Linked DNA regions of Tribolium castaneum. The protein of the gene in region 2 purifies or fractionates together with the protein of the main gene of each other region. This does not show direct contact. Links are inferred from orthologs where the notes say so. Each region holds a gene or a part of one and is shown on either strand. Other genes may lie near its edges.

Region 1 (11,584 bases), on a different chromosome or scaffold from region 2:
TCCCACTATAGGTCAACATAAAAACGCACTTTTCTGTAAATATTTTGTCAAATAATTACCAGTGGAGATAGAATATGACATTACTTTTGCCGTTTTCGAACATTGTACCAAGTTTTCCAGCCAAAAACTTACTTATTTCACCCAAATTTGTTATTACAGGCCAAAAAATCACAGAAAGGAAGGTTAAAGAGATCATTCTGACCTTTTGCATTAGATTTATCCTGTTTTTTAGTAAGGAACTCATCTATTTTACGAAATTTCGTTAAAATAGACGTTCCTTTGTGCTCTTTGAAATGAATGTAAACTTGCTTTAGGACCACGGGACACTTTTTTGTAAAAATTGTAAAAAAGAAAAAGCCCAAAAATCAGTGAGTTACTGTTTATTAATTAATTTCGAGCTCAAAACTCATCTGTTTTGCGGAAAGCGAAAAATTTCCAATGACGGCGGAGTCACTAATAAGCTTTAATCGACTTTGGGATGTAATTAAAATGAGGATGAAACGAAGACACTGTTTTTAACATAGCTTATGCTTATTAGAATTTAATATTCTGTTAGTTTGGGGTTCACTTGAAGAGCCGCCACTGAGTTTAATGGTGAAACTGCATTCTTCGTCGCAGTTATGCAAATTCAATTGAATTAAACAACAAAACATGCATTTTGCTCTTTGTATACAGCAAGCGCGGAGCAGAGATTTGCCAAGGTACGACGCCAGCACGACGAATATAAACGGGCGTACGTCCACAGTAAGCGATTCCAATTGTTGCAGTAGGTTCCAATAGACCAACCTTCTTAATTTATTTTACTCAGGTTTTTCGTACTTTATTTATACGTAAATTGATACAGATTGAATAAATTATTACAATTGGTTGTGAATATTTATGAATCGTTGATTTTTGTATTGTTGACAACGTTAATAAACTGTGTTTGGAATTGATTGATGCGTAATTGTTAGATTGTGCCAATGTGCTTCCTAACAATTTGTTTGTAGTAAATTATGTGCAATTCGCATTAGAGCATTTTCATCTCGAAGCACAGTAAACGTAATTTTTGCATAATGCTACGTACGCACTAGGTGTAGTCGCCTCCATTCCTTTCCCCATTGATGAAAGTGCTCTAGAAATTTATGTTAGCGGACAAGTGCAATATTTTAGTTTGGTACAAAAGCGTTTGTTTCCGATTGCACTTACTTTTTTACATTATTTTTTGTATAAATGGTGTAGGTGATTCGTAAGAGATTATTTATTTACATGTTTTTAGTAATAAGCCAAAGAATAATCATGTAAAAGCAACAAAATCATTAACACAATAAAACTATACACTTTTCAAGTCTTTAATTATTGTTGTTGTGCGGCTGCCCGAAGTCCTCGATTTTGAGCAAATCTTTGGTGAAGTTGAAGAGTTTCTCTTGTAAGTCCTCGCTTTTGGCGTTCTCGCTCGTCGAAAAAATCCGACAATTGTGGATGTAAGTCCCGCCTTTGCCCTCCAAGTGCGGGGAGAGACAGGCGTGGACGATTGGAATTGCGCCTTGTTCGGGTGTCTGAAAAATTCCGCTCGGTTATTGCAGTCAATTCATTACCAACGACAGCGTAAAATTAGCTAATAATCGGCAGAAACATGACATAGATAAGCAAAGTGAACAGTCATTTTCCGGCCTTGGGGACCGGTTCTTGTGTACAGTTCCTTACGCAACGTACCTTAAACATCAAAGACGGCACCCAAGGGGCTAAATTCTTCAAATGTGTGCCATCAAACAGCTCTGTGTTCACTATGCCGGGATGGACGGAGTGTAGCTGCACCGGCATATTCTCCTTCTTGCAGACACTTTCCAAATAATTAGTAAAGAGCACTTGTGCCAGCTTTGATTGCGCGTATGCTTCGCCGGAAATGTACTGATGCCGATTGTTAATATCTTCAAATTTGATTTCTCCAACTAGATGGGCACATGACGATACGTTGACTATTCGCGATTTCAAATTTTGGGTTCCTGCAGCGCACAGTTGCGGGAGCAACAAATGGGTCAAAAGAAAGTGACCCAAGTAATTTGTGGAAAACTGCGACTCGTAACCATCTCGACTCTCAATATACGGACCAAACATTATCCCCGCTAAAGTACAAACAATTATGCAAAAAAATAACAAAAAGCGACTCACCATTGTTAATTAAATAATTAATTTTTGGGTGTTTTTCGGCCACAACTTTGGCAAAACTTTTAACAGAATCTAACACACTTATGTCCAGTTTGTAAACGGTGACGTCCCCCGTAGTCACCCCGCTGTCCCTGCACTTTTGTAACACTTGTTCCCCCGCTTGAGTATTCCTGCAACCTATTATTATTTATTTATTTTTAGTCGTATTCTTATGACTGAAAGTACCGATGATAACGTGAATGTCACACCGAAGTAGCATTTTTACGACCTCGGCCCCTATTCCTCTGGCACCCCCTGTTATTACGGCCACTTTCCCGGACAAAATCGGCAAATCTTAAATTAAATTGAGTTTGGCGGGTTTAACAATTTACAAAAAATGCTTACCCGTCTTGTTTTTACTCCGCATGAACACATCCTCGAGGATGGCCCTGGATCCCACTGCATTATACAGTAGCTCGTATTTTGCCTCAGCTAAGATCGTTTTTAGGGGCTTTTTTGAGCGCCATATCGCCACAATTGTGACGATGATGATTATCCCACAGCCAATTAACAAAAACATGGATTAAAAACATTAAAAAATGTTGACGCTTGTGCTGTTTAGCTCTAACTAAGCGACTTTCTCGGACATGACTTTCTCTATTTCCGACGAACACGCGAAGGAGATAAGTTGAGTGGGTCCAACGGGCTGACTCAGGACAGGTATTGGGTAATTACGAGACTGGGGAATTACAATTTTTCGTTCAAACTTCAAATTTTGTCAATTTTCAAAGAAGCAACGGCTCTTTTGTGCGCTATAATTGGAGCGTATCCCATTAATTATTAATTGAAGATTTTAACGGTGAAACCACAACGAACGGTAACACCAAATCCTGTTTCAAATTAGGATGTGAGATTAGCATATATGTGGAGAGGACAAGGGTCACTAGTGGCATCGGGTCACAGTTTTCAATCGATCGAAATTATTAATTAATTATTTGTTTTCTGAGGCCCCCAACCTTTCGGTTGTCAAATGTCAAAATCAGGTGTTGGCGCGTCGCGACATCTATCCATTCGCAAAAGAAGCACCCAATCTGGTAAATTGTTCCCCAAATACCACCCCTCATAAATTAATTTTTCGAAAAAGGGCGATGTGTTTGACTTCAACAATGCCAATGTGTCCACGTGTTAGTAAAAAATCTGTGTGGGGTTTAGTTTCGGGTCCCCAAATACAGTTTCCTTCCCTCCCACAAACGTCAAAATCGGACGCAATCTCATGGCAACGTAAATGTCACTATGTCATTGCGTGTTTACGAGCAAGTGAGATATGCACGTATCGTCCTGTTTGTAATAAAAATCAAACATTAACATTATTCGGTCGTGCTATTTCGCGAATTTGCTAACCACCTACGTGTCACTGTAAACCGTTGGTGTTTTTCCAAATCTCGAAGAAATGAGTGACAGTGCGGGCCCATCGAGCAGTTCGGACCAAAGACAGCGGGGGCTGAACGTGGAGGCCCTCAAGCAGCACGTGCTCACCCACAAAATCGACTGTGGGTTGTGGGCCATTCGGGTGCTGACCATCCTCTTCACTTGCGGCTACTTTTTGCCAATTTTCGGGTAAGTAGCCTTGTACTCATGCTAATTACAGGTAGCCGGTTGATAACCGGTTGTTCTTGGGTTGTGTTTTTAATTGTGGTGTTTAGGTAAAAACGCCAAAAGTGGACGTTGTATGGTTGAGGATCCTAAGAGTGAAAAGTAGCCCATCACATATGCACTTTCTTTTTCAACTTTCACTCAGTGAGAAATTTTTGTTGTGTTGCAGGAGTGCTCAAAATGCCTATTACAAGGCGCTCATTGCGAACGCTGCCATTAACGCCCTCAGGCTGCACCAGAGGTTGGGGAGGGTTAGGCTGAGTCGGGAGTTTGTGGCACAGTTGTTGATGGAGGATAGCTGCCACTATCTCTTCTATTCCATGATTTTTATCTATGTGGCACCCTTGACCTGTATCCTTCTCTAATTAATGTGAATTGATTCAATTAGAGCAGCACTGAATTCATTTCCTTAACTAGAATACAGTGGTTTTGTTGCCAGTGGTTCTGTTCGCTATTCTACATTCAGCCAGTTACTCACTAACTCTACTTGATGTAATAGTCAGTAACAGCACTAGTAACGTTTTAGTAATTTTTTGTTTTTCAGACTTTGGGCCAAAACTCGTGGTGGGGCGCCCGCCTCTTGATATCTTTGGTCGAATTCCAGTCACTAAATATCTTGAGACTGATCGCATTCACTGAGATTATTATGATGCCACTCACTGTACTTTTTGTCGCTATGTAAATAATCTAAATGGGGTAATATTTTTTATAAAAATTGTTTTTGCAGGGGACGGGCTAGTCTACTGACGCCTTTTATCTATTATCATTTTTTGACTCAAAGGTACACATCAAGGCGTAACCCTTACAATAGAAACATGTTCCATGAACTCAGAATCTTGTTCGAAAAGACCGCAGCAAAGCCCAATCTACCTTCCTTTGTGAAGTCAATCTTGCTAGGGATTATCAATTTCACTGTTAAGTTAGCACCTCCCCAGGTGCAAGCCCAGCATCAGCAGTGAGCTAGTTGTTCCATGTATCCTTATTATATCAAATGTTCGTGATATGGGTAATTTTAACGCCTAGTATTGTTTATTTGCACTTGTTTGGTACATGTTCATGCAATTTTTTGCACGAATTTGAGGTATGGTTGCAAAATTTCGTCCGTTACTTTTTATATACTTTTAACCCAGGAATGATTTTTTATTAATTTTTAGTATGGATGGTGTAAAGTAGTTTTGTTATATCGTTATAAATGCATTGTGCTCATGGAGGTTTCTGTTGTAAAACTCATTCGAATTAAATTTTCTCCATGTCATGTTGTTATGTTAATAAGCAAAAGTTTGTAATTTCACAATAAAAAAATATTTAAAAAAGGGCGTTTTATTGAAATACTCTTCATTATTCCCATTATTCTTCATTATTCCCATTTTTTATTTTTGTTATTGTTATTACGAACTATGATCCAGTTCAGAGATAAACATTTAGTAAACAGGCCGAAAATTAAAAATTGCTTTAAGCTCTCTTATTTTGCGAAATTCCTTTAAAAACGGACAGAATCACGATGTCTTTTAAATGCTTACTTTAGCACATTTTTAAACCATATTTTGTTCAAAAAGAAACGGAAATTATCTACGCTGCTTTTGCCTTTTTCACTCAACAATTAGTTGCTTCGCCAAAATTTTTGTTTACGTGTCATTTTGTAAAATCTTACTTAGTTGGAAATTACGTAGCTCCAAAGTTTAGCTAATTTTCTGAAATGTCGATAAAACACGTCGCAGTTAATGACTCACTGCTTTAGAGGAATTTCTTTTTTTAGAAGGGAGAAAACATTCCCAATGGCAAAATTAGGAATAAGGTTGAAACAGGAAGGGCATTTTTCTTGGTATTAAAATAAAACGAAAGTTATCTTTCCAGAATTTTATTGAAAATTAATCTTATGATAACTTTAAGCTACTACTGGAATAGCTGGTGGTGCGTCAGGTTTGACTGCTTTGATTTCACTGCTGGGGTAGGCAGGCAAAATCTCCTCTTTAGGTTCCACAACAGAGACATTGTCAGGCAGAGGCTTTTTGGGGCCTGTTTTGCCGCTGGGGTCCCACGGCAACATAATCTTGACCTAATACAACAAAATAGCATCATACAAACACCAATAATTTTACAAAAACTTACTTTAATTCCCAGCACACCCTGTCTTAGCAAGACGTGGCGGGTGGCTGTGTCCACATAATCATTGCATGGGTCCCCAGAGTGGATCATGAGACCGTCAACAAACTTCATCGATTTGGCTCTCTGGCCACGCAGTTTTCCAGAAACTACAACTTCACACCCTGCAAAATAACCACTAAATTAATTCAAAATACGTTTTGAGCCAAATGTCCAAACCTTTAGCGCCACATTCCATGATGTACCTCAAAACACCATAGCAAGCCCTGCGCACGGCCAAACCTCCGATCAATTTGAATCTAAGAGACTCTGCTTGTGCAATGGCACACAGACCCCTGTTGGCCACCTTCTCGCCATACAAAACGACTGAGTTTTCGGGGAAATTGAAACGTTTCTGTACGACTGAAGTCAATTCACGAATACGACGGTTCTTCTCCCCCAAAACACGGTCAGTACGTGTGGCCATGATGATGATTTCCGTGCGAGTTGGGGTGACTCGGACCTCAACCCCGGAGTACCCATCTTCTGATAATTCACGAGTCAAGAACTCGTTCAATTCGGCTTTGAAAACGCCATCGCCAACAAACTACAAATAAGCGCAACATCAAGTCGGTGAACTGGGGACCACATGTGGGAAAATGTTGGGTTATGGTTTGGGGAACAAGTAAACATGAATGTTAGCCCAAACATGTGTGCTTATTTTACAAGATTTTGGGCTCTAATGAAGAGTTAAACATGTTTAAGTGGATGGAAAGGCCAATTTCTGGTATTTACCTTGCGTTTTTTCGAAATTGGAGTCGCCATTTTGACGTTCTAAATGGAAAAGGTTTGACGTGTGGCGAGCGGAAGTCGACCTAATTGGGAAGGGATGTGATAGAGGACGCTTACAAGGCGGCTTATTTGAATAATTTTTGGAGAGAAAACTTTCTTGCATATCGGGTAAATAACGTAATGAAAAGACTGTTCTTTTTTCAGTTTTTTTACCTTCAAAAAATTATTTTTTTTTTATCTGAGTAGCTCCAACCAAACCAACAACTTTTATGAACTTTTATGTGTTCAGAACTCTTTTTAATCATCTATCGTTTAAAAAAAGGTCATTGTCCTGCTACTGGTAGTTTCCAAAAATATTATTATTGCTAACAAATGCAAAAATAGCCAAAATCTATTTCGGTTTATAACTTGAAAAACTATTACGAATTTACGACGCCAATCAATTCTCCAGACAATTTTGCATACGAATAATTGAAAATATCTCAATTTTGTCGTATATTTTCGCCGTAATTGAGAAAATAAACGCAATGTAATTCTACACAAGTTGCGCCAAATGTAAAATATTATCTTGGGGAAAGATCTTGGACCGAATAATTTATGCAACTGTTGCGTAAAACAATGTAAGACCATAGGCAAAAATAAATTAAAAACAAAAATAAATAAATAAATTCTCTAGTTTTTTTGGTAATTTTGTTAATTTCTGTCATCTATTTTTTATGTTTGTGGTTTGACAACATACGTTGAGGTTATGTCGTGACATTTTATACAATGTGGATCAAAAAATACCTGCTTAAACCTCATTCACCCTCATTATAAATTTCTGTTCCACTCAGTCACTTAACTGGGCCAGGATTGTGTTTCAAGATAATCAAATTAATAAACATGGCGATAGCGACAAATAGTTCAATATTATCATTGTTACCAAAATATCTGTTTTGATAAGAATGGCTTCGTGGAGCACTTACTTGCAAGCGATTTTCTACATTGCTCTGTTATTTTTCGTTATCCCTATAAGAATAAAAGGCCCAGACCAAGCCGAATCACAATTTCAAGAGTACTTGAAAAGGTTCAACAAGACATACGATGACCCTTCTGTGTATCAAAACCGTCTTCATGCATTTAAGGTAAAACTTATAATTTGTGTCCTTGTTGTATAACGTCGCTTTTCAGCAATCACTACAAACAATCGAGACTTTGAATTCCAAAAAAAGGAATGGTTCAGCACTGTACGGTTTAACGAAATTCTCGGACTTGTTACCAGAGGAATTTTTCCAAACCTATTTACAATCAAACCTGAGTCAGAAGACGCATTCAAATGAGCCAAAACGACACCACCATAAACGAGCAACAGTGCCTAATAAAGTAGATTGGAGAGAAAAAAACGCAGTGACTAGAATTTACAACCAAGGCAGTTGTGGGGCCTGCTGGGCCTACTCTGTTATTGAAACTGTGGAGTCCATGAACGCCATCAAAACCAACAAGTCTGAGGAGCTCAGTGTGCAAGAAATTATCGATTGCGCTGGTAACAACAAAGGGTGCAATGGGGGCGATATTTGCACTTTACTGTCTTGGATCAAAGCCACAAATTTCACGATTCAAAGACACGCCGATTATGGGGGTAAATGTGGCCGGGGCTCGGCTGGTGTCCATGTTAGAGACTTCATGTGTGAAGGGTTCGTTTAGTTATTTTTTAAGTTTATTCTTTCTTATGGAAACTTTCAGATTAGTGGGGTCTGAAGATGTTATGTTGAGGCTTTTGGCGGATAATGGACCCCTGGCTGTTGCGATTAATGCGCAAACTTGGCAGAATTACATTGGAGGTGTTATTGAGTATCACTGTGATGGGGATCCGTCAAAGTTAAATCATGCTGTCCAGATTGTTGGGTATGATTTGACTGCAAGTATTCCGCATTATATTGTCAGGAATACGTGGGGTGTGGACTTTGGGGACGGGGGATTTTTGTACATAGCTGTGGATAAAAATATGTGTGGGATCGCAAACGAGGTCTCAGCATTAAGAGTACTGTGATTTATTTAGATAGTGATGTTTAAGTGTATCCATTTTATGTAGAAAATGTATAGGTTTTATACACCAAGTGAGAATAAATGTTTTTTTATTATTGTATTTTTTCTTCCATAGTCCTTGAAAATAAATACTGGTCGCCACCAATGAGCTTGTAATAATTAACTCCTTTTTTTGTGAAAAAAACTCACACATCTTCAGTTTGTTGTTGCGTCAGACATTTTTTTTATAAATAAGCTTCATGGTCCTTCCCTTTATAAAAGCAGGTACGTATTTCATAACGGATTCCAGTTCCAGTGGTTTAAAGTCGTCTAAATAATACAGAGCCATTTCTCTTTTGTTACCTAATTTTTTGTTGCTATACCTAATTTTATACTGGTACATTTTTATAGCAAATTTTGCTGCAGCTTAAATAAGAAATCCGATATTGCGTCAAGATTTTCGAGAAAGAAATAAAAAAAATGTTTTTAACCAGGGACATGTGCACTATACTTACATAAAAAAGCCTCTCTGTGTTCAAGATTTTTGTTAAGAGTGGCCATTGCATTAAATTTTAGAAGTAACATAAATATAAAGGTGTTATTTTAGGCTTTTTAAAGTTTTGTTCTTTTAATTGCTCTGTGGGTAATGGGTAGTTATTATTTTTCTAAATATAAATTTAACGGAAACATTTTGTTTGATTTAATCCTGTCCCTGTAATTGAGTTAATCTACATCATAATTATCCATTTCAAAAATAAATTTAACTTTTGTGGTGGTTTGCTAGGCAAAATTTCCTTACACACGGAAAATAATACAGTGAGTTTGAAAACTCAAAACCCAGAAATGTTGACTTTTCGCCAAATTATCGATGTGTTGAAAAAAATCTGGCCGACGCGGCTCTATTTTGAATTTTAACAGCTCACAGTGTTGATAGGGAAGGGGATCTGGGCTGGTGAAAATAATTTCCTCAAAAAATAGTTTATAAATATTTTATTTATCCCGTTTGAATAACACAGTGTCTTGCAAGTATTTATTTTTGCTCCTTTAATAATAATGCTACGTAATGATCAACCTCGAAACACTTACCTGCGATTTTTCCGCATGATTAGCGTTATATTATTATTAAATCAGTAACATTTGCATTGACTAATGGTTACATTATACCTACTAACGACTTCGTATTGCGTTTCGCCAAAAAAACTTTGGATTGTAATTTTTTACGTTAGAATGTCATTTAAAGGTAAAACTAGAAGATGTTTATCAGGTTAAACAAGTCGTTGATGGAATTCTTGTAGGAAGTATTTATACTGACATTTTTTGGAGTGTGGCTTACTGCCTTATTATTATTATTATTATTATTGACAACAGAACAACCTCACCTGAGGCGAAATGTATAAAACCCTTTTTTATTGCACAGAGACGTACAATTAAACGTGGTAAAAGCTGAGAGCGATCATTTAACTTGTAATTCCATTATTCTGATACGAAGTGCTTACCTTAGTCTTTTTGTAGTAGGTACTTGCTCACTTAGTTATTTAATTAAGAACGTCAACTAAATTACAGTCAAGTAGGTAACATGGCTTACAAAGTTCCGACTTTTTTCTTTTGTTGGATCGTGTACCTAATTGGAATAACTGGAGGGTGTTTATTATATTAGCTATTCGTAATGAAATTGCTGTTGGAACTTGATTATTCTTTGTGTGGATTCTCGCGATACTTACCTTTGATTACATCAAAGCTGCGAAAAGCGAACGTTTATCGGGAGCAAACTGTGTATCGTGTTTGTATTTTTTCCAAGTCTATAACTAATAAACTAGTAATAACTTAGGTATAATACGTCTACGATCATGTCCCACATTATTATAGGTGCCATCTACTATAGGTTCGGCTACTACCACGGTAAGGAGTGGATTGATGGGGTTTACTGTTAATCTACTAAATAATTCGATTAAATTTCAAGCAAACGAAATGCTTTATTAGATACACCACTGCAATAATACACGCTTGTAACAAACTGATATGACTTAATCATCAAATATTGTACTCAGTACAGAGTAGAAATGACTAAATGTTAAATAAATAATAAAATTTATAACGACGAGACTGAACATGCGTCGGGAGCGTCCATTGTGCTGTGCGGGTGGTAGTTGCAAAAAATGACCACAATCAGCACAACATCGCTCCTCACAAAATTCTTTGTCGGTTAGGTCAAATTCGCAACATTATGGGCGCGCTGTTCACTGCTCTTGGGCTTTTTTGTAATAATGTAATCAAAGGGGAAACAAGTTTTCAATCTCTTTCATAATAATGTCGATGGAACTGCACAACATTGTTCTTTAATATTAATTACTTCGTAAAATTGACCTGAACTCTATTGACTAGGCACACTTAGTTTATATAATAACAAGAAACTGTCCTATGAAAAATAGAAACTTCCGACAATAAAAGAAACAGACAAATAATCAAATAATAGTGTCGACGCGGACGCGTCGACCTCACAACGGTCTCATTTTTTTTTCGATTTTTAAAAATACTTTATCATTACAACATATAAATTATCAAGATATTCTTGTAACAGGACCAACAGTGTATACATGTAATGCTTTAGCCAGATAATGTGCTCCATAATAATCGAGTGACATTCACACACTAATTATGTTTTTTTCTAATATTAACGATCATATACAAAATAAACCATCTGTTCGGAATGTGTCGAGTTCCAAAGAAAACTTCAACCGAGAAGAACACCTTAATTTTATCATCGTAACATTTTGATTTAACAACTTTGAAAATACTTTGGAATAGAGTAGTTGCCAACAAGTGGAGTAACGTTATTGTCCACTGCCGCAATAAACGAGTGAGGTGCACTTGGTGTGGGGGTGCGAGGGCGCATGCACAGACTAGGCCAAGCGGCGGTAGAGGCCAC
Region 2 (11,250 bases):
AAGGCGATATCTCGCAAAAAATTTTTCAATTTTCAAACGCCGATTACGGCCAAACTAAAAGAGTTAGGAGAAAACGGTTTGTTCCATCGTAAAGAGCAAATCAAAATCTATAAGATAGAATAGGTTTCATTTGATTTAGAGACACTTTAAAAATTGACCGATTTTAAGGGGGGGGGGTGTTAACTTTTTTTTAATTTTTTTTATTTTCTCATTTACGCCTAAACTATTCGAAAAAGTGGAACTGTTTTGATCCATACCTATGCAAAATGATCCGGGGAATCGATTGGCGTCGAGAAAAGTGCCAAATTCCGAATAGTTTTTTAGTTATGAATTTTTTAAAATTTTACCAATTTTTGCATTTGTCTCCAATTTGCTCGAAAACTATTCGCCGGAGAACAATAATTTTTTTTGAAAAAGATAGATAATTTAAAGAGCTTTCCAACGATAATACACTTCATGGGGTTATCTCTGATAGTTCCGGAGCTATTGCTCGAGAAATGTTCCGGGTACCGGAAATCGGCCAAAATCGCGAAAAAAATTGAAAAAATCAAAACCAAAAAATCGATCAAATGGACTTTTTGTGGACTTTTAACAACTTTAGTGGGTTGTTAAGACATACAGAAGTCCATAAAAATATGCTGAAGTGAGTTTAAAAAAAAATTTTTTTTTCGTCACTTTGAAGGATATTACCCTGGAAATTTGAGCAAAAAAATTTTAAAATTTTAATTCTTGTGAAAAATTGATATATTATGTAAAATGAGCCGTAGAATTCAATGGAACAAACCGCAGTGCTCTACGACTTTTAGTTTTTTTTTTATAATTTTTTTTAGTGAAAAACTTTGATCGCCTCTGTAGCCGGAACCGTTGCCCGGAGCGGCTCCGGGTTTGGTCGAAAAAATAGATAAAATTAAGCGCTATCAGATGGTTTTTTGTTCGTTGCTCTAACTCTTACAGTTTCCGAGAAAAACGCAAAAAAAGGTTTCCATTTTCACTTTTTTTCAATTTTCAACCGCCAATTACGGCGAAACTATTAGAGTTATCGAGAAACGGAAAAATGGAGGATAACCGGAATAAAAAACTCTACAAAATGGCATAGGACTCAAGGCGATATCTCGCAAAAAAATTTTCAATTTTCAAACGCCGATTACGGCCAAACTAAAAGAGTTAGGAGAAAACGGTTTGTTCCATCGTAAAGAGCACATCAAAATCTATAAGATAGAATAGGTTTCATTTGATTTAGAGACACTTTAAAAATTGACCGATTTTAAGGGGGGGGTGTTAACTTTTTTTTAATTTTTTTTATTTTCTCATTTACGCCTAAACTATTCGAAAAAGTGGAACTGTTTTGATCCATACCTATGCAAAATGATCCGGGGAATCGATTGGCGTCGAGAAAAGTGCCAAATTCCGAATAGTTTTTTAGTTATGAATTTTTTAAAATTTTACCAATTTTTGCATTTGTCTCCAATTTGCTCGAAAACTATTAGCCGGAGAACAATAATTTTTTTTGAAAAAGATAGATAATTTAAAGAGCTTTCCAACGATAATACACTTCATGGGGTTATCTCTGATAGTTCCGGAGCTATTGCTCGAGAAATGTTCCGGGTACCGGAAATCGGCCAAAATCGCGAAAAAAATTGAAAAAATCAAACCCAAAAAATCGATCAAATGGACTTTTTGTGGACTTTTAACAACTTTAGTGGGTTGTTAAGACATACAGAAGTCCATAAAAATATGCTGAAGTGAGTTTAAAAAAAAATTTTTTTTTCGTCACTTTGAAGGATATTACCCTGGAAATTTGAGCAAAAAAATTTTAAAATTTTAATTCTTGTGAAAAATTGATATATTATGTAAAATGAGCCGTAGAATTCAATGGAACAAACCGCAGTGCTCTACGACTTTTAGTTTTTTTTTTATAATTTTTTTTAGTGAAAAACTTTGATCGCCTCTGTAGCCGGAACCGTTGCCCGGAGCGGCTCCGGGTTTGGTCGAAAAAATAGATAAAATAAAGCGCTATCAGATGGTTTTTTGTTCGTTGCTCTAACTCTTACAGTTTCCGAGAAAAACGCAAAAAAAGGTTTCCATTTTCACTTTTTTTCAATTTTCAACCGCCAATTACGGCGAAACTATTAGAGTTATCGAGAAACGGAAAAATGGAGGATAACCGGAATAAAAAACTCTACAAAATGGCATAGGACTCAAGGCGATATCTCGCAAAAAATTTTTCAATTTTCAAACGCCGATTACGGCCAAACTAAAAGAGTTAGAAGAAAACGGTTTGTTCCATCGTAAAGAGCACATCAAAATCTATAAGATAGAATAGGTTTCATTTGATTTAGAGACACTTTAAAAATTGACCGATTTTAAGGGGGGGGTGTTAACTTTTTTTTAATTTTTTTTATTTTCTCATTTACGCCTAAACTATTCGAAAAAGTGGAACTGTTTTGATCCATACCTATGCAAAATGATCCGGGGAATCGATTGGCGTCGAGAAAAGTGCCAAATTCCGAATAGTTTTTTAGTTATGAATTTTTTAAAATTTTACCAATTTTTGCATTTGTCTCCAATTTGCTCGAAAACTATTAGCCGGAGAACAATATTTTTTTTTGAAAAAGATAGATAATTTAAAGAGCTTTCCAACGATAATACACTTCATGGGGTTATCTCTGATAGTTCCGGAGCTATTGCTCGAGAAATGTTCCGGGTACCGGAAATCGGCCAAAATCGCGAAAAAAATTGAAAAAATCAAAACCAAAAAATCGATCAAATGGACTTTTTGTGGACTTTTAACAACTTTAGTGGGTTGTTAAGACATACAGAAGTCCATAAAAATATGCTGAAGTGAGTTTAAAAAAAAATTTTTTTTTCGTCACTTTGAAGGATATTACCCTGGAAATTTGAGCAAAAAAATTTTAAAATTTTAATTCTTGTGAAAAATTGATATATTATGTAAAATGAGCCGTAGAATTCAATGGAACAAACCGCAGTGCTCTACGACTTTTAGTTTTTTTTTTATAATTTTTTTTAGTGAAAAACTTTGATCGCCTCTGTAGCCGGAACCGTTGCCCGGAGCGGCTCCGGGTTTGGTCGAAAAAATAGATAAAATTAAGCGCTATCAGATGGTTTTTTGTTCGTTGCTCTAACTCTTACAGTTTCCGAGAAAAACGCAAAAAAAGGTTTCCATTTTCACTTTTTTTCAATTTTCAACCGCCAATTACGGCGAAACTATTAGAGTTATCGAGAAACGGAAAAATGGAGGATAACCGGAATAAAAAACTCTACAAAATGGCATAGGACTCAAGGCGATATCTCGCAAAAAATTTTTCAATTTTCAAACGCCGATTACGGCCAAACTAAAAGAGTTAGGAGAAAACGGTTTGTTCCATCGTAAAGAGCAAATCAAAATCTATAAGATAGAATAGGTTTCATTTGATTTAGAGACACTTTAAAAATTGACCGATTTTAAGGGGGGGGGTGTTAACTTTTTTTTAATTTTTTTTATTTTCTCATTTACGCCTAAACTATTCGAAAAAGTGGAACTGTTTTGATCCATACCTATGCAAAATGATCCGGGGAATCGATTGGCGTCGAGAAAAGTGCCAAATTCCGAATAGTTTTTTAGTTATGAATTTTTTAAAATTTTACCAATTTTTGCATTTGTCTCCAATTTGCTCGAAAACTATTCGCCGGAGAACAATAATTTTTTTTGAAAAAGATAGATAATTTAAAGAGCTTTCCAACGATAATACACTTCATGGGGTTATCTCTGATAGTTCCGGAGCTATTGCTCGAGAAATGTTCCGGGTACCGGAAATCGGCCAAAATCGCGAAAAAAATTGAAAAAATCAAAACCAAAAAATCGATCAAATGGACTTTTTGTGGACTTTTAACAACTTTAGTGGGTTGTTAAGACATACAGAAGTCCATAAAAATATGCTGAAGTGAGTTTAAAAAAAAATTTTTTTTTCGTCACTTTGAAGGATATTACCCTGGAAATTTGAGCAAAAAAATTTTAAAATTTTAATTCTTGTGAAAAATTGATATATTATGTAAAATGAGCCGTAGAATTCAATGGAACAAACCGCAGTGCTCTACGACTTTTAGTTTTTTTTTTATAATTTTTTTTAGTGAAAAACTTTGATCGCCTCTGTAGCCGGAACCGTTGCCCGGAGCGGCTCCGGGTTTGGTCGAAAAAATAGATAAAATTAAGCGCTATCAGATGGTTTTTTGTTCGTTGCTCTAACTCTTACAGTTTCCGAGAAAAACGCAAAAAAAGGTTTCCATTTTCACTTTTTTTCAATTTTCAACCGCCAATTACGGCGAAACTATTAGAGTTATCGAGAAACGGAAAAATGGAGGATAACCGGAATAAAAAACTCTACAAAATGGCATAGGACTCAAGGCGATATCTCGCAAAAAATTTTTCAATTTTCAAACGCCGATTACGGCCAAACTAAAAGAGTTAGAAGAAAACGGTTTGTTCCATCGTAAAGAGCACATCAAAATCTATAAGATAGAATAGGTTTCATTTGATTTAGAGACACTTTAAAAATTGACCGATTTTAAGGGGGGGGTGTTAACTTTTTTTTAATTTTTTTTATTTTCTCATTTACGCCTAAACTATTCGAAAAAGTGGAACTGTTTTGATCCATACCTATGCAAAATGATCCGGGGAATCGATTGGCGTCGAGAAAAGTGCCAAATTCCGAATAGTTTTTTAGTTATGAATTTTTTAAAATTTTACCAATTTTTGCATTTGTCTCCAATTTGCTCGAAAACTATTAGCCGGAGAACAATATTTTTTTTTGAAAAAGATAGATAATTTAAAGAGCTTTCCAACGATAATACACTTCATGGGGTTATCTCTGATAGTTCCGGAGCTATTGCTCGAGAAATGTTCCGGGTACCGGAAATCGGCCAAAATCGCGAAAAAAATTGAAAAAATCAAAACCAAAAAATCGATCAAATGGACTTTTTGTGGACTTTTAACAACTTTAGTGGGTTGTTAAGACATACAGAAGTCCATAAAAATATGCTGAAGTGAGTTTAAAAAAAAATTTTTTTTTCGTCACTTTGAAGGATATTACCCTGGAAATTTGAGCAAAAAAATTTTAAAATTTTAATTCTTGTGAAAAATTGATATATTATGTAAAATGAGCCGTAGAATTCAATGGAACAAACCGCAGTGCTCTACGACTTTTAGTTTTTTTTTTATAATTTTTTTTAGTGAAAAACTTTGATCGCCTCTGTAGCCGGAACCGTTGCCCGGAGCGGCTCCGGGTTTGGTCGAAAAAATAGATAAAATTAAGCGCTATCAGATGGTTTTTTGTTCGTTGCTCTAACTCTTACAGTTTCCGAGAAAAACGCAAAAAAAGGTTTCCATTTTCACTTTTTTTCAATTTTCAACCGCCAATTACGGCGAAACTATTAGAGTTATCGAGAAACGGAAAAATGGAGGATAACCGGAATAAAAAACTCTACAAAATGGCATAGGACTCAAGGCGATATCTCGCAAAAAATTTTTCAATTTTCAAACGCCGATTACGGCCAAACTAAAAGAGTTAGGAGAAAACGGTTTGTTCCATCGTAAAGAGCAAATCAAAATCTATAAGATAGAATAGGTTTCATTTGATTTAGAGACACTTTAAAAATTGACCGATTTTAAGGGGGGGGGGTGTTAACTTTTTTTTAATTTTTTTTATTTTCTCATTTACGCCTAAACTATTCGAAAAAGTGGAACTGTTTTGATCCATACCTATGCAAAATGATCCGGGGAATCGATTGGCATCGAGAAAATTGCCAAATTCCGAATAGTTTTTTAGTTATGAATTTTTTAAAATTTTACCAATTTTTGCATTTGTCTCCAATTTGCTCGAAAACTATTAGCCGGAGAACAATATTTTTTTTTTGAAAAAGATAGATAATTTAAAGAGCTTTCCAACGATAATACACTTCATGGGGTTATCTCTGATAGTTCCAGAGCTATTGCTCGAGAAATGTTCCGGGTACCGGAAATCGGCCAAAATCGCGAAAAAAATTGAAAAAATCAAACCCAAAAAATCGATCAAATGGACTTTTTGTGGACTTTTAACAACTTTAGTGGGTTGTTAAGACATATAGAAGTTCATAACAATTTGCTGTAGTGAGTTTTTTTTTTTCAATTTTTTGAAGGTATTTGCCTTAAAGGTCGGTAATCAAGCCGAAAATGCGTGCCAAAACTTAATCTTTTTCTCGAAATTTTCATCAATAATACGCCAAAAATCATTAACATTACATCAAAAGCAATACTTTTTTGCTCATTATTTTTAGAGATGCCGTCAAAAAATTCACAAAATTAATCCAAAAATGTCATAATTTTTGCTTTTTCTTAAAGTTTTAGTAAGTTTTACCTTAGCATTCTTGATACTGTTGATGTAGTTCATCCTGGAAACGATAACTTCAAGCACTGGACCTCGATCTTCAGCCAAAAGATGAATTTCGTCAATTATAATAAGTCCGACTTGTTTAACAAAATCCTTCTGAAGCCAATTTCGACTCATTCCATCCCACTTTTCCGGCGTTGTAATAATAATATGAGACGTCGAGATTAGTGAAGAATGAGGGGTGACATCACCGGTCACTTCCACCACTTTTTTACCAATTTTGGCGAATTTTGGCGTCCAATCAAGGACACGCTCGCGAACTAGAGCCTTCATTGGTGCAATATAGACAACTTTTCGCTCGGGTCGGTTCGCAAATAATCGCAAAATACAAATTTCCGACACTATTGTCTTCCCGGAACCTGTCGGTGCTCCGAGTAAAACATTGGAGTCGGTGTTGAAACAGCAATGAAACACTTGGCTTTGTACGGCGTTAAAGTGTGTAAAACTGTACAAATTTTCAAACTCGGTGTTATGTAAGGCCGTTTTGGGTAAAGGTCGCACGCTTAAAAATTTCGTCTGGATTGAGTAGCTTGGCAAAAGGTGTAACTTGTCCAAGTCGATTCTGTAGGACGTTTCCGCGGCTAAAAACCGTCAAATTTTAGTGCCTTCAAGTCCAGTGGCTAAAGTTTCGAGATTTGAAAGGTGGGACACTTTTTAAATCATCCAATTTAGGTCAAATTACGAAAAAAAATACGAAAATTCGTTCAAAAATTCTGTGATTTTTAACACTTTAAAGCTAAAAAATTGATGTTTCAGTTTGTTTCCAAAAAAAATCAATAACAATAAACCAAAAAACTCAAAAACTTTGCAAAATTTCGCCAAAAACAAGGCAAAAAATGTGTTATTTTTGCCATTTTAAGCTAAAAACTACCCTTTTCTGCAAGGTTTCTCATAATTAGATTGGAAAAAAAGGTGTTACTTCAGTCGGTTTCGGTTGATTTAGTTCGTTATTTCGCAAACTTTTGCTCTGTAAGTACGTTATATTGATTTAAAAACCAAATTTTCTCGCGAGATTTCACTAAGACAGGCCAGAAAATCCGAAAATTAGAACGCAATTACAATTATTTTGGAATATTTCGCTTGATTTAGCTCGCTTTTAAACCAAAAAATGTAATAACTTCGCGAAAATTTGCCGAAAACTAAGCAAAAATTTACGAAATTAGGACAAAAACGTCACTATTTTTTCCTTTTTCAAGTATTTATCGCTGTTTTGAACCAAAATCTGTTTTAATTTTTTATCAAAATTTCCCTAAAAACTCAGTTTCGGCCGATTTTGTTCAGTTTTCAAAGTAGGAACGTAATTATTTCGTAAATTTTGGAGAAAAACATGCTAAAAATTACCATACTTAAGCATAAAATTGAGTTTTTTCAATAAAAAAAGGCCGGAAATCAAGGAATTGAAGTAGGAAAATATACTATTTTAGCCTTTTTCGAGCGTTTTTTGGCCTTTTCGTGCGATTTAGTTCGTTATTAAACACAAATACAAGAAGGTTTCTTCAAAAACATCATCCAAAATAAGTCAGAAACATGATGAAAAATTTGAAAAATCGGTCAAAAAGTGTACTATTTGTACCTTTTTCGAATGTTTAAGTCAGTTTTAAGCTAAAAACTTTGAAAGATTCCAAAAAAAATCAGCTTATTTTGGTCTGTTTCAGTCGATTTAGTTCGTTTTTAAGCGAAATTTTATCATAACAAGCTAGAAACGTATAATTATTCCATTTTTTTTTCTCTTTAAGTACATTATTGAGTTAAAAACGTAATAATTTCCTTGTGAGATCTCATTATTTTGACTTAATTTTGACTGAATTTCATCAAAAACAAGCCGAATTACTAAAATATTTTGAAACTAGTTATGTTTTTACCTTGTATAAGCGTTTAAACACACTTTTTATTAAAATTTTTCTTAAAAAACCGAACAATTTGCTAAAAAATGGACTAAAACTGATGTCATTTTGACCAGTTTCGTTAATTTTTGGAGCAAAAATTAATTTATTTCACAAAATTTTGGGAAAAACATGCCAGAATTTACAAAAACAGTGCGTTTTTATGCGAAAAACTGAGGTTTTTTTTGAATAAAAAAAACAAAATTAACGTACACTTTAACTATTTGGTTTATTTTTGAACTTAGAAATTTACTTATTTCACAAAATTTCTCCAAAAACTAGGAAAAAATAATAAAATCAGCTCGAACTTCACACTATTTCTCCCTCTGTTGAGTATTTCAGCGAAAAGCGCAAGTATTTCACAAAATTTCGTAAAAATACGCAGTCATTTTCGATTTCGATTAAAGTGAAAAAAATTTGGTCGAAAACAAGCCGAAAATTTTTACGATTCAGCCAAAAATTGTTATTTTTGACTTTCTCAGAATACTACAAATTGAACTTTTCCGCAAGATTCCACAAAAATAGACAAAAAATTCATCAAATTTAATCAAAATTGACTATAATGTAGCGCGATTTCAAACGTCTTAATTCGATTTTTAGCGAAATAAGAAATAAAATTATCAAATTATGTCGAAAATTCTTATTATTTCATCGAAACACTTTAACCTCTTCCACATAATTTACTTTATTTTTGCTTCAGAAACGTATTATATCACAAAAAAAAATTCCAAATACAAGTAAAAAATCATGAAATCAACTCCAACTAGACATATTTTAGCCAAAGGCGCAAGTATTTCACGAAATTTTGGAAAAAACTTGTCAAAAATTTTCGATTTCGGTCGAAAACAAGATGAAAACTTTGACAATTCGTCCAAAAGTTGTTATTTTTGACTTTTTCGGAAGCTAAAAATTGAACTTTTGCGCAAAAATGGACAAAAAATCATCAAATTAAACATTTTTTTTAGCGAAATTTCGCCAAAATTAGCAACAAAATCATCAAATTATCGTTAAAAATTCGGTAACTATTTCTTAAAAATTCACATCAGTCTCTATTCTAACAATTTTTTATTAAAATCAAGTGTCCCAGCTTTCTTAAGCAACAAATGACAATCACTCACCCATATATTTGCTATTAACAACCGTCACAAAATATTCATTTGAGTGCGGTTTTTGCAACGGCACCGTAAAAATCAATTCGATTGGTTCCTTACTTATCACTTGTTTTTTCGTGATAATAAACGATTCAAAATGATAGATACTATCATGTGTGGGGTCCTCCACCCACGCGTAGTAATGCTGCACGTTACCATGGATACTACTATCCCAACTGAAGTTAGCACCAATCAGCAACTGTAACCTGATCACGCCCTCTGTGATCGGTTTAACCGAAACGTCAAGGTTAACACGTGGAAAAGCTTTGCAAAAATGGTGAACCCGACTCGCCAAATGTCTACTTCTAACCAAATCCAAAATTTCCCGCTCTGTCATCTCTTGTAATTCTTCAATCGGTATATTATGAAGCACATCAAGTGCCCTGTGCCCCTTAATCTCCAACTCCTTGAACTGCATCAAAGGATGCCTGTCAGTCCAAGCTTGCTGTTCAACCATTCGTGCCACCTCCAAGCAGCGCCACACTTGCAAAGCGTAATTTTTATCAACCGCAATTTCGAATAGCGCTCGCGCCAATCGCGTCACACTTTGCATTATGAACTCGCAGTCGGAGACCAATGACGAGACGCGGATTTTGGCACGTGATATGTTAGCCTGGATCAGAACCAAAACTTTGAAGACAACAGCGCTCGGGTCTAGGTTGAATTCGAATTGACTGAACTCTTCGTGGAGGCGATCGAGCTCGTCGAGCTCGTCGTTCCGGACTTGGATGTGCTGGAATTCGGATGCGTTGCTGATGAGGTGGAGGATGTCGGCTTCGACCATTGAACGTTCGAAATGGTCGTGGAAATATTTCATTGTTTGGTGCGAGATGTAGTAAAAACTGGCGATACGGCCGTAGTTTGTCGGACGGAGTTCGCCCAAAGTCGGGTTGAAACGGACCATTTGGGCCGATTCCAGCGTGGAGGCGGCGTCGAAGAGTTTGCGCTCCAGGTACTGAAAGAGCTTTTCAGGCTCCTGGAAAAATAATTTACACTGAACTATAAGGTTTGAGAATGATTCTTCAGCAATTTTTTTAAGGAAACACTTAAATGATGGATTTTTTTGAACCTTTTTTTAAATAATTACGAAATAACCATAAAAATAAAACAAAAGTTCGCTGGAAATTACAAGGGTGTTTTGAGACTAAAAACTAAGTTTTCTCAAAGATTGTGTCAAAAAACAAGCAAAACATTAGAAATTCAGGAAAAAATACTACTTTTGCTTTTTTCCAATCAAGGACTTTTTTTTGGATTTTTTTAAGATAAGACGGTAAATAACTAACTTATTGATTCGAAAAAAGTGACATATTTAGTAGTTTAGTGTTTTCCAGGCAAGAACGGATTTTTTTTGCAAAATTGTAAAAATAAAGCGAAAAATCACCAAATATAAATTTGAAAATGGTGCCACTTTTGAGCGAAACAAGATAATATAAATTTGCGACAGTTTTTTCAAGACTTAAACGACTTTTTTAAGAACAAAACCCAAGATTTTATCGAAAATAGTGTAAAAAATTACCAATTTAACTCCAACATTGCTAACTTTCTACATGTTTAACAGTTTTTAGCACACGTTTCAGTCAGGATTGAATTTTTTTTTACTAAATTTCGTAAAAATAAAACAAAAAGTCACAAATTACATTTGAAAACGTTGCCATTTTTGCCTTTTTTGAGCATTTTTCAGGTAGAAATACGATTATTTCGCGAAATTTCCACAAATCTGAAGTAAAAAAACACCAAATTAGGTGGAAAATTGTGTAATGTTTGCCTCTTTTAAGCACTTAAGGACGTATAAAG

What was found.
Region 1: the proteins of obe (region 2) and RpS3 purify together in Homo sapiens (co-immunoprecipitation; 4 studies listed by BioGRID and IntAct, with this or other methods). This does not show direct contact. The link is inferred for Tribolium castaneum from reciprocal best matches to the Homo sapiens genes ASCC3 and RPS3.

What each region holds. Positions count from the first base shown.
Region 1 is NC_087402.1:7,603,103-7,614,686, reverse strand, and holds RpS3 (ribosomal protein S3), read right to left. Parts: upstream 7,483-11,584; 5' UTR 7,441-7,482; exon of another isoform or gene 7,367-7,440; intron 6,791-7,366; exon of another isoform or gene 6,738-6,790; 5' UTR 6,688-6,737; coding exon 6,658-6,687; intron 6,470-6,657; coding exon 6,103-6,469; intron 6,048-6,102; coding exon 5,890-6,047; intron 5,837-5,889; coding exon 5,666-5,836; 3' UTR 5,623-5,665; downstream 1-5,622. Other genes in the region: Rab30 (ras-related protein Rab-30), read left to right, coding at 676-780; retinol dehydrogenase 12, read right to left, coding at 1,332-1,538, 1,696-2,105, 2,152-2,325, 2,374-2,481, 2,533-2,707; Kr-h2 (Krueppel homolog 2), read left to right, coding at 3,578-3,744, 3,950-4,131, 4,205-4,272, 4,325-4,458, 4,508-4,739; cathepsin O, read left to right, coding at 7,599-7,778, 7,825-8,327, 8,377-8,683. UniProt on the Homo sapiens protein: Component of the small ribosomal subunit. The ribosome is a large ribonucleoprotein complex responsible for the synthesis of proteins in the cell. Has endonuclease activity and plays a role in repair of damaged DNA.
Region 2 is NC_087401.1:15,003,890-15,015,139, forward strand, and holds part of obe (activating signal cointegrator 1 complex subunit 3), read right to left. Parts: intron 10,433-11,250; coding exon 9,424-10,432; intron 7,004-9,423; coding exon 6,390-7,003; intron 1-6,389. UniProt on the Homo sapiens protein: ATPase involved both in DNA repair and rescue of stalled ribosomes. 3'-5' DNA helicase involved in repair of alkylated DNA: promotes DNA unwinding to generate single-stranded substrate needed for ALKBH3, enabling ALKBH3 to process alkylated N3-methylcytosine (3mC) within double-stranded regions.